Linked DNA regions of Bombyx mori. The protein of the gene in region 2 interacts with the protein of the main gene of each other region in a pairwise test. Links are inferred from orthologs where the notes say so. Each region holds a gene or a part of one and is shown on either strand. Other genes may lie near its edges. The genes, in order: nuclear pore glycoprotein p62 and exportin-6.

What was found.
Region 1: the proteins of exportin-6 (region 2) and nuclear pore glycoprotein p62 interact in binary tests that used the Homo sapiens proteins (3 or more experiments, as listed by UniProt). The link is inferred for Bombyx mori from reciprocal best matches to the Homo sapiens genes XPO6 and NUP62.

What each region holds. Positions count from the first base shown.
Region 1 is NC_085134.1:6,717,909-6,722,165, reverse strand, and holds the start of nuclear pore glycoprotein p62, read right to left. Parts: upstream 2,945-4,257; 5' UTR 2,768-2,944; coding exon 2,701-2,767; intron 2,514-2,700; coding exon 2,457-2,513; intron 2,176-2,456; coding exon 2,074-2,175; intron 1,587-2,073; coding exon 1,459-1,586; intron 871-1,458; coding exon 792-870; intron 418-791; coding exon 293-417; intron 1-292. UniProt on the Homo sapiens protein: Essential component of the nuclear pore complex. The N-terminal is probably involved in nucleocytoplasmic transport.
Region 2 is NC_085114.1:10,470,997-10,475,272, forward strand, and holds the start of exportin-6, read right to left. Parts: upstream 2,803-4,276; 5' UTR 2,602-2,802; coding exon 2,599-2,601; intron 2,529-2,598; coding exon 2,319-2,528; intron 302-2,318; coding exon 104-301; intron 1-103. UniProt on the Homo sapiens protein: Mediates the nuclear export of actin and profilin-actin complexes in somatic cells.

The DNA.
Region 1 (4,257 bases), on a different chromosome or scaffold from region 2:
TAAGGCTTTCAATTACCTTTGTAAAATAGTTTTTATAACTATTTAATTTTAATCAGAGTGCATGATTACTTTGCAGCAGAAACAGTGTAGTGTTAATGCTTACAACTAGGTAACTACTATATACAGACTGACATTGTCTCCTGGTTTCAACAAATTATTGTAATCAGAAGTTGGATTTAGAATAGTTACCTTTGTACCTTAAACTTAACAACAAAAATAACAGACAAACAAAGGAATTAACTGGAGATGATCTAAAAACGATTTCTTTTTTGGGATTGTAACAAAAACTTACAGTACTAGCTTGCGGTGCTGAGAAACCAGATGTAGGTGTTGAAAAACTAAAGCCAGCTGTCGTTGATGCCGGCTTCCCGAAGCTAAAACCTGTATTTGCACTGGAACCGAATGCTGGGGCAGCAGCTAAAACAACATGTTCATACATTTCCTTTTCTTAAAATTTCTGTTCACTTTATTACTGATGCAAGCAAGACGTACTGGTGAAGTAATTATAAATTTCGTTTGTAAGGAACAATGACTTAAAACTTTTCTGAACTTTAAGTCCAATTTTCATAATAGCAAAAGCTGAGCGCTAGTGCATTTACAAAAGCAATATTATTATCCTTTTTTTTAATTTTAAATTTATAATTATCCATGTCATCTGCCATGTCAAAATAATTATATTTGTCAATCCAGGTCTTAAGCTGTGTTACCATTATAATCGTCATTTTAGTATAATATCATTTATATATTCATTATAATAATAAATTTATAATATTATTATATTTATAACCAACCTTGTGTGGCAGGTGTACCGAATGCCGGTGGTGCTGTGGTGGTTGCACCAAACGACAGATTCTGGGCCTGTCCTGCATTCTGTGAAATATTCACTAGCATTACAAGGCATTAACACATGCAAAGGAGCACAGTGAACGACATATAAGAGTTATGTAGAATGTAAGCATTCTCGAACTAAGAAAGAAAAGATAAGTAGAATGTAAGCATTCTCAAACTAAGAAAGAAAAGATATCATTTTTTTCACAACAATTTAACAATGGCAGAACATTGTTTTTTTTTTTTTTTATGTCTTAGATGGGTGGAAGAGCTCACAGCCCACCTGGTGTTAAGTGGTTACTGGAGCCCATGGACATCTACAACGTAAATGCGCCACCCACCATGAGATATAAGTTCTAAGATCTCAGTATAGTTACAACGGCTGCCCCACCCTTCAAACCGAAACGCATTACTGCTTCACGGCAGAAATAGGTAGGGCGGTGGTACCTATTCGCGCGGACTCACAAGAGGTCCTACCACCAGTAAAATTTACAAATATAACTGATTTTTTTTCCACTTAATTTGGTGAAATGCAAAATACAGTATTGATCGATAAACGCAGCTGGAGACATCACACCAAACTGACGAATAGTTTGTTTAACAGGCTCCCAACAAAATTACTGTACACACCTGATTTGTTGCTTGCCCAAAGGCAGAACTGCCAACTGTCTGATTAGGAGGTGAAGTGAAACCTCCAAAGGGTGTTGGCTTATTCGCTCCAAAGCCTGCAGTTGTAGTCGTTGTCGATGGAGATGAAACTGCCATACAATACATAAGTGTGAGAGGCATTTGTTATGAGTAGAATGTTTTTCGTAATGTTTGATGTAAGCCTCTTTTTGAGCAGGTAGGTTCTCATTGTCTATAAAGAGTAGGGCAGGAAAGGTTCAAGGCTCTTACATTTTGTGATTCAGTAGTGTGGTGATAATTTTGATTAAGCACTATGTTATTTTGTTATTTGTAGGTCAATTCTATTTTAGTGTTAGATTCATTCCTGGAGTTTAATTTAACTTTAACTTGTATGAAAATTGTATTTAGAACATAGGATCTGAGTGTAAATAAATATTTATGAAATATTGATCATTTAAGAACCCCTTTGAGGGATAATTATAATTTTTTAAATAATTTTTCACATGTCAGCTAGGAGTGTTAATAGTTGTTTAAATATCTTTTGCATGTCTTTTGGCTATGGTTTAATTACAACCATACAGTATATTCAGCGTTAAGTAAACAAAGGCCATTACTTACATGGTGAAGGTGCTGCATTTGTTGTTTTAGCACCAAATGCAAAACTGCCAAATACTGGTGCACTTGTTGTGGGACTAGTGAAGCTGAATGTTGCTTTGTTTTCTGAGAGATTAAAAATATTATTTGCATTTTCTATATGCTTTTGGGATTCGATTCATGTTTGGATATCTAATGAGTGTACTTCATCTTTTCTGAAAATATCCATGTCTCTTGGTTTAAGAAACCAGCACCACTGTTAATAAATCTTGATTTATTAACAGTGGTGCCTTAAATTCCCTTAGTCCCTTAAATTTTTACTGTCTATTTTTGTTACTTGTAACAGAAAAATTCAGATTTAAAATATCGCTTGTATTTGTTACCGGAAGTTTTTGTACGCATCGTACCTGTGTTGGATCCACCAAATAACGGCTTTGAAGCGTCACCGCTGCCAAATGAAAATCCTGTAATTACATCCAATTAATTAATTTTTTGATCTTAACGTGAAAAAAGTGTGGTTATATTGTTTACATTGACAATTTAATTATTGTTTAAAAAAACATATATATCGTAGTTCGAATCGTATTGTAGAGTATTTCAATTTATAAAGCTTCAAATTGGAACATGATAATCAAACCAAAAAGAATTTACCTGTTGATGGTGTTGGTGTACCAAAAGTATTAGACGACGTTGTAGTAGTTCCAAAAGAAAAACTCATTTTGTAAACTATAGATAAACTTATGTAAAAGTAAAATAGTTTAAATGATGGAAGTATGTATATTTAGATATTTCAATAAATGTTTAGTAAGCACTACTGTTTGCCGCCGTTAGAAAATTTACCAACAGTAAGATTTATCGAGATATTAATCATTCGTTCAAACTTCAATGTGTCAAAAGTCACTTTTTGTTATGTCCGATCAGACTGGCAAAAGAAACGTAGCCAATTGATTTAAACTGGAATTGAAAACCTTGTGTGAGATCTCAAGCCAGGCAGATTGCAAGCATATTTTTTCCCGTGTTCTCATCGCAACCAATTCTAGAAAATGAGTGTCGGAAAGGAAAAATATATGAAAGATAATCGTGGCAAAAGAAGAAAGATAAGGCATTTAAAAGCTAAAACTATATTCTTATAGTACATAGTATAAAAAATACCTAACAATGTTTAATTACCCCATTTTTTCTCGTCACCTAATATGAATCCTAACGATAAATGTGAAACCGTAAATTATCTTTCCAATCCAACTCTCTATACTCTGTTCAATTCAAATCAATTTACTGTATGTGATTTTTAAAGGCAATCTCTTCCATACCTTTAAATCGCTTTTGATAACATCAGTTGGATGATAACAATAACAATTTTAGATGAAATCATCCATATCTTTTGCCACATCCTGAATTAAGCAAGTTTGTTCCAAAGTCGAGTTTGATGGTGTGTTCCAAAGGAAAGGAAAAAACGAGCCATCGCGGTAAAGCTTGTAGATTTGAAACATTGATATTACTTTGTACAAGTATAGATGTTTATATGGATAGCTTAGAATAGAAAATTGGTGTGGAATATGAAAAATACAATAATAAAATGAGACAGTCGCTTGTGCATGGCGATGCGTTGCCACGTCAGCAATCAAAAAAAGAGCTTAAGTAGCTTAGCATTTTTAAAGTATTTGTATATTTCATATTATTTTTATTTCATAAAACCTAATCCGCTTACATAGTAGTGGGGCCCCATTTTTTTATTTGCCCTGGGGCCCTTGGTTACCTTGTTAGCCACTGTTTATCTCGGCAGGTAGATTCGTGTTTCATGCTCGCATTACTATATCAGAACACTATTTTAATTATTTATATTTATTTTATTAAGCCACTGCTACTATTTTCGCATGAGAGTTATGGAAATGTCTAAATAAGACGTACATAACCACGACCACTCCGCTAGGAGTGTACGACTGAGAAGAAAAGAAAAAACTATCTCAGACGTGGTGTGTGTGGTTTTAAACTTTTTGAATAACAATCCATTGTATACAAGTGCACAAATATGAGGCGTAAAGTTTTCAAAGTAAGTTGACTACCTGCATACCTACCTACTTAATATTTTATCTGCCGTACTTATTCTCGTAGGTTCCATAGTGACCAATGAAGTAGGAAACCTATGGAAATGAAACGTCAACCAAAATTTCGTGCCACTGTGACGTCATCTGGCCACAAAACATGGCG
Region 2 (4,276 bases):
AACGACGCGTCCCTTGTATACATACTCATCAATAACTTCAAGAGTTATCTACAATCATTTCAGATCTTTGAAAATTACATGACTTTCATATTTTTATTCATACCTCGACAATATTACTAAAGAAATCCTCATATAAATGTGGCCAATCATATTTGGCTATTGAAACCATAAGGTGGGCCATTTTGTTTCTTATGAAGTATAACATAATTTCATGTTTTGCCATTAATTCATTCCATAGTGTTAACCTGATCTCTGTCTTGTTTTCATCTGATATACCAATCCATTGTCTGTTGATAGTGTTCTGGAAGGAAATTTAAATATTATTTATTTTTGCATGGACTAGTGGTTGAAGAAATTCTCGGTCCGCTGGTGTTAAGCAGTTACCGGAGGCCATAGACATGAACAACTTAACCCACCTTGAGAAATGAGTCTCATTTCAAACATTTCAATGTATTTTGCTGACTTAAATTTTACTACCTGTATCTTTCAAGCTATTAAAGGGCTGAGATAAAAAAAAATTATAATATCATGGCTCATTAATTTAGTAAAGACGAAATTAAGTAATAAGGCTGTTCCTTGTTTTATTTCACACCACTTTTGTACTTAAAACTGTGTTTCAAGTATAATGAGAGGTTGATAATTAAGTTAAGCACTAGATAGCAAGGAGTACTAAAGTGTCAAATGCAGAAAATAATTTCAAGTTCAAAATAAAGTAGTATCTTTTTAGAGCAGAGCTTTGTTTCTGTAATTAAAAGGAAGGTTTACAAAGAAGAGTGATAATTTACGATTTGTTAATAAAACGAGTTATTTAAATTTATCATTTATACATTTTATATTTATCATTTATACAGCGGTAGGCAGCGGCTTGGCTAGCGGTAGGCAGCGGCTTGGCTAGCGGTAGGCAGCAGCTTGGCTAGCGGTAGGCAGCGGCTTGGCTAGCGGTAGGCAGCGGCTTGGCTAGCGGTAGGCAGCGGCTTGGCTCTGCCCCTGGCATTGCTGAAGTCCGTGGGCAACGGTAACCACTCACCATCAGGTGGGCCGTATGCTCGTCTGCCTACAAGGCCAATAAGAAAAAAAAAAAATTTTAGAAAATTACATAATAGCTTAATATAAGCACATTATATTTGACAGGGTCTTTACTACACACCATAGCAAAGGTGACATGGTTATATTCTATGCGATTTGAAATTTTGTGATGTGATGTCCTTTCTACCTTCTTTTGTGGATAATCTAATCTTAAGCACTTAATTAATTAAATAAGTTAGTCTGGTTCTGTGGTTGGGAAAAATAAAAGTCTGGACATGATATGGAACCTGTTAAGCTAATAGAAGGAAACATAGATCACTTCAAAGACAAAAACATATTGAAAGAAACAATGTAACCTTACAACGAAAATGTGCTTCTGGTTATTTATTGTATGTACCATAAAGGAATTTCTCACATTGCCATTAGTTTCTGTCTTAAGAGTGTCCAGCTAACAGCCCAGATCTAAGCCCATTACAGCATCTTAGGTGCGAAGTCAAGATATATGTTTGATTTGAAACATAATATTTCTCAGTGTGGTGATTTAAGAAAGCTTTATGAAGTCTAATAGAAGAATAGAACTTTATCTGCCAAGTTGATATTAAAAGCTATGGACTTGGTACTAACTATTAATTTTAGTTTCAAAAGTATTAAATACCTTTTTTTCTTTATACATTCACTTTCATATGATTTATATGATCTTAATTTCATAAAAAAAAACTAACTCTAAAGCAGTTTAATAAATCAATTAATTATTTGTAGTTTTGTTTGTTACCATGGGGGGGAATAAGTAAATTTTTTAAATAAAATTATTAATAGTTTTATTCTATGTATTATTTATGTGTTAAATAGATTTATGTGATTATTTCATAAAATAATTAGATACTTCTAAGAATGCATAATACACAAAACATGATTTGGGTTAAAAAAACCTGGAACTTCAAATTGTTCTTAATTATATGACCTCTGTTGGATGTGTCCAATACAGAGAAAATCAAAATGTGTCTGAAAGATTTGTACACTCATACACATTATCTTGCATGAACTTGTTTATACTCATTGACTTGCTAAGTTTGCATCTTGTATGAACTTGTGCACGCTTATGGACTAGTTGAGTTTTTAGAGGTACAACAACAATCCTACTCAAATATTAGTCAATCTTAGAAAAAGTGCACATGACGAAAAAAAATTTCCTCTTCGTTTCGTTTCAACCCGTAAGAAACCGATTTCTACTACTTTGGAAATTCCTGGTCATTTAGACCATAATAGAGCAATAAAATAAAATAAACCTTTACCTCTAACGTCGTTAGAGAGAACATCAAAACATACTGATTCTGTGACTTTTGAAGAAATAGGAGACAATGTTTCCACGAGTCTCTGCGATTTGAAAAGTCTTCCAGCATGCTTTCAATTTCACGTTTTCTTATATTAGTTGTCGTCGGAGCAAAAAACTCCGACATGAGAATATCCAAAGAGGCTAAAGCCTCGTCGATATGTTGTTCGGTCTGAAAATTTGTTTTAAGATACAATCAATGTGCTTTTAAACTTCCAACATTTTCTACTATTATTTCTTACCATGATTTTTTAAATAACATCTAAGAAATAATTTCACATTATTTTTATTATTATTATGAAATGAATAAGGCTTTATTCAAAACATTTAAATGATTTTTTTTGTAACGTTTTCTGTACAATTACTATTTATTAATTGAACAGTGTTTTCATCAACTTAAATAAAGTTTTTTTTTTATGTTTTTCCATCTTGACTATTTTTGACATTTGACGTATATTCAACTTCTATAATTTTTTTAAAGGGATTTTATTACCTGGTTACTAAGACTTTTAAGTCACGTCTTATTTTAATTTATATTATTTTTTTTATGAAAAATGATAAAATGGAGTGAAATAAAATGAAATGAAATGAAGATGATTAATTTGAGACATTAATCAACTGGGATGAAATTAAATGAAATGAGATGATATGGGATGAAATATAATCTCAGTAAAATGGTGATCATTTACTGAGATTTTTTCAGTGGACTTTTTGGAGGATCCCGAGAAGTTACGTCCAGCGGCTTTATTTCATTTCCCATATTTGTGCACTTTCACAGATATTAAACAGTTAATAAACCACCGTTATTACACGGTAACAAGCCGGCTGGTCACCGTGGAAGAGATTGACCACAGCCTTCAAAGAAACAATTAGAAATTGCCCAAAATCCGGAAATCTATCAACAAACAAGTTATACATAGCAACATATAACGCAAAAACCCTCTCTTCATTTGAAAGACTATTAGAGCTCGAAGAAGCCCTGAAAGAAATAAAGTATGATGTCATCACCCAGCGGAGTACACAAGAATGAAATCGACTATATACTGTCAAGTGTAAGCTATTCCTATATATAGAAAAGCTGAACCCTAACTTCTCTACAGACCATAGAATGGTAAGAGCTACAATAACTTTAAAAGTATCAAAGAAAAGTCGAATAAAATTTACTAACAACCGCAATAGTACTTTAAAAACGAGAGAAGCAATTGAAGCATACAAGCAAAATCTGAGGCATCAGATATCATCAAACTTCGTCGACTATCAATTGGAGACGACAGTGCAGGATTTTTATAACAAATTATTATATATTATCAAAGTCAGTCAGTCAAAAACACGACAGGTTAAGAATACCTTTACTAGACACAAAATTCTCTCAGAGAGGACAATTACATTATTAAATAAGAGACAAATGTTACAAAAAAACGCCAAGGAAGTCACGATTAGAAAAAAACGAACATATGAGCACTTTATAAACTGACGAGTAAATACATAAAATATGACTATATAAACTACCGGAATCAAAAAATACAAACTTACCTTACACGGGGAAAAAATTAAAAAAAAAGTAATAAAATAATTTCGAACAAATAAAACTTGGATTGAGAAATTAAACCAATCAGGACAAACAACCCACAGCCGTAGAGATATAATTAATATTGCTACAGAATTTTATAAAAACCTGTACGGTGCGAATATACAACAAATAAACAACAACAAACAGGAACATACAACAACCCCGAAAATAATAATATAAACTAAATAACTAAACTAAATAAGTTAAAATTGGAGAAGAGCCCAGGCCCAGATTTCATTACTGATGAAGCAATTAAACATGGATGTGATATACTTGCATCACAGTGGTCAGAATCCATTATAATCTTGCTGTATAAAAAAGGTAACCCTAATGACATCAGCAATTACAGG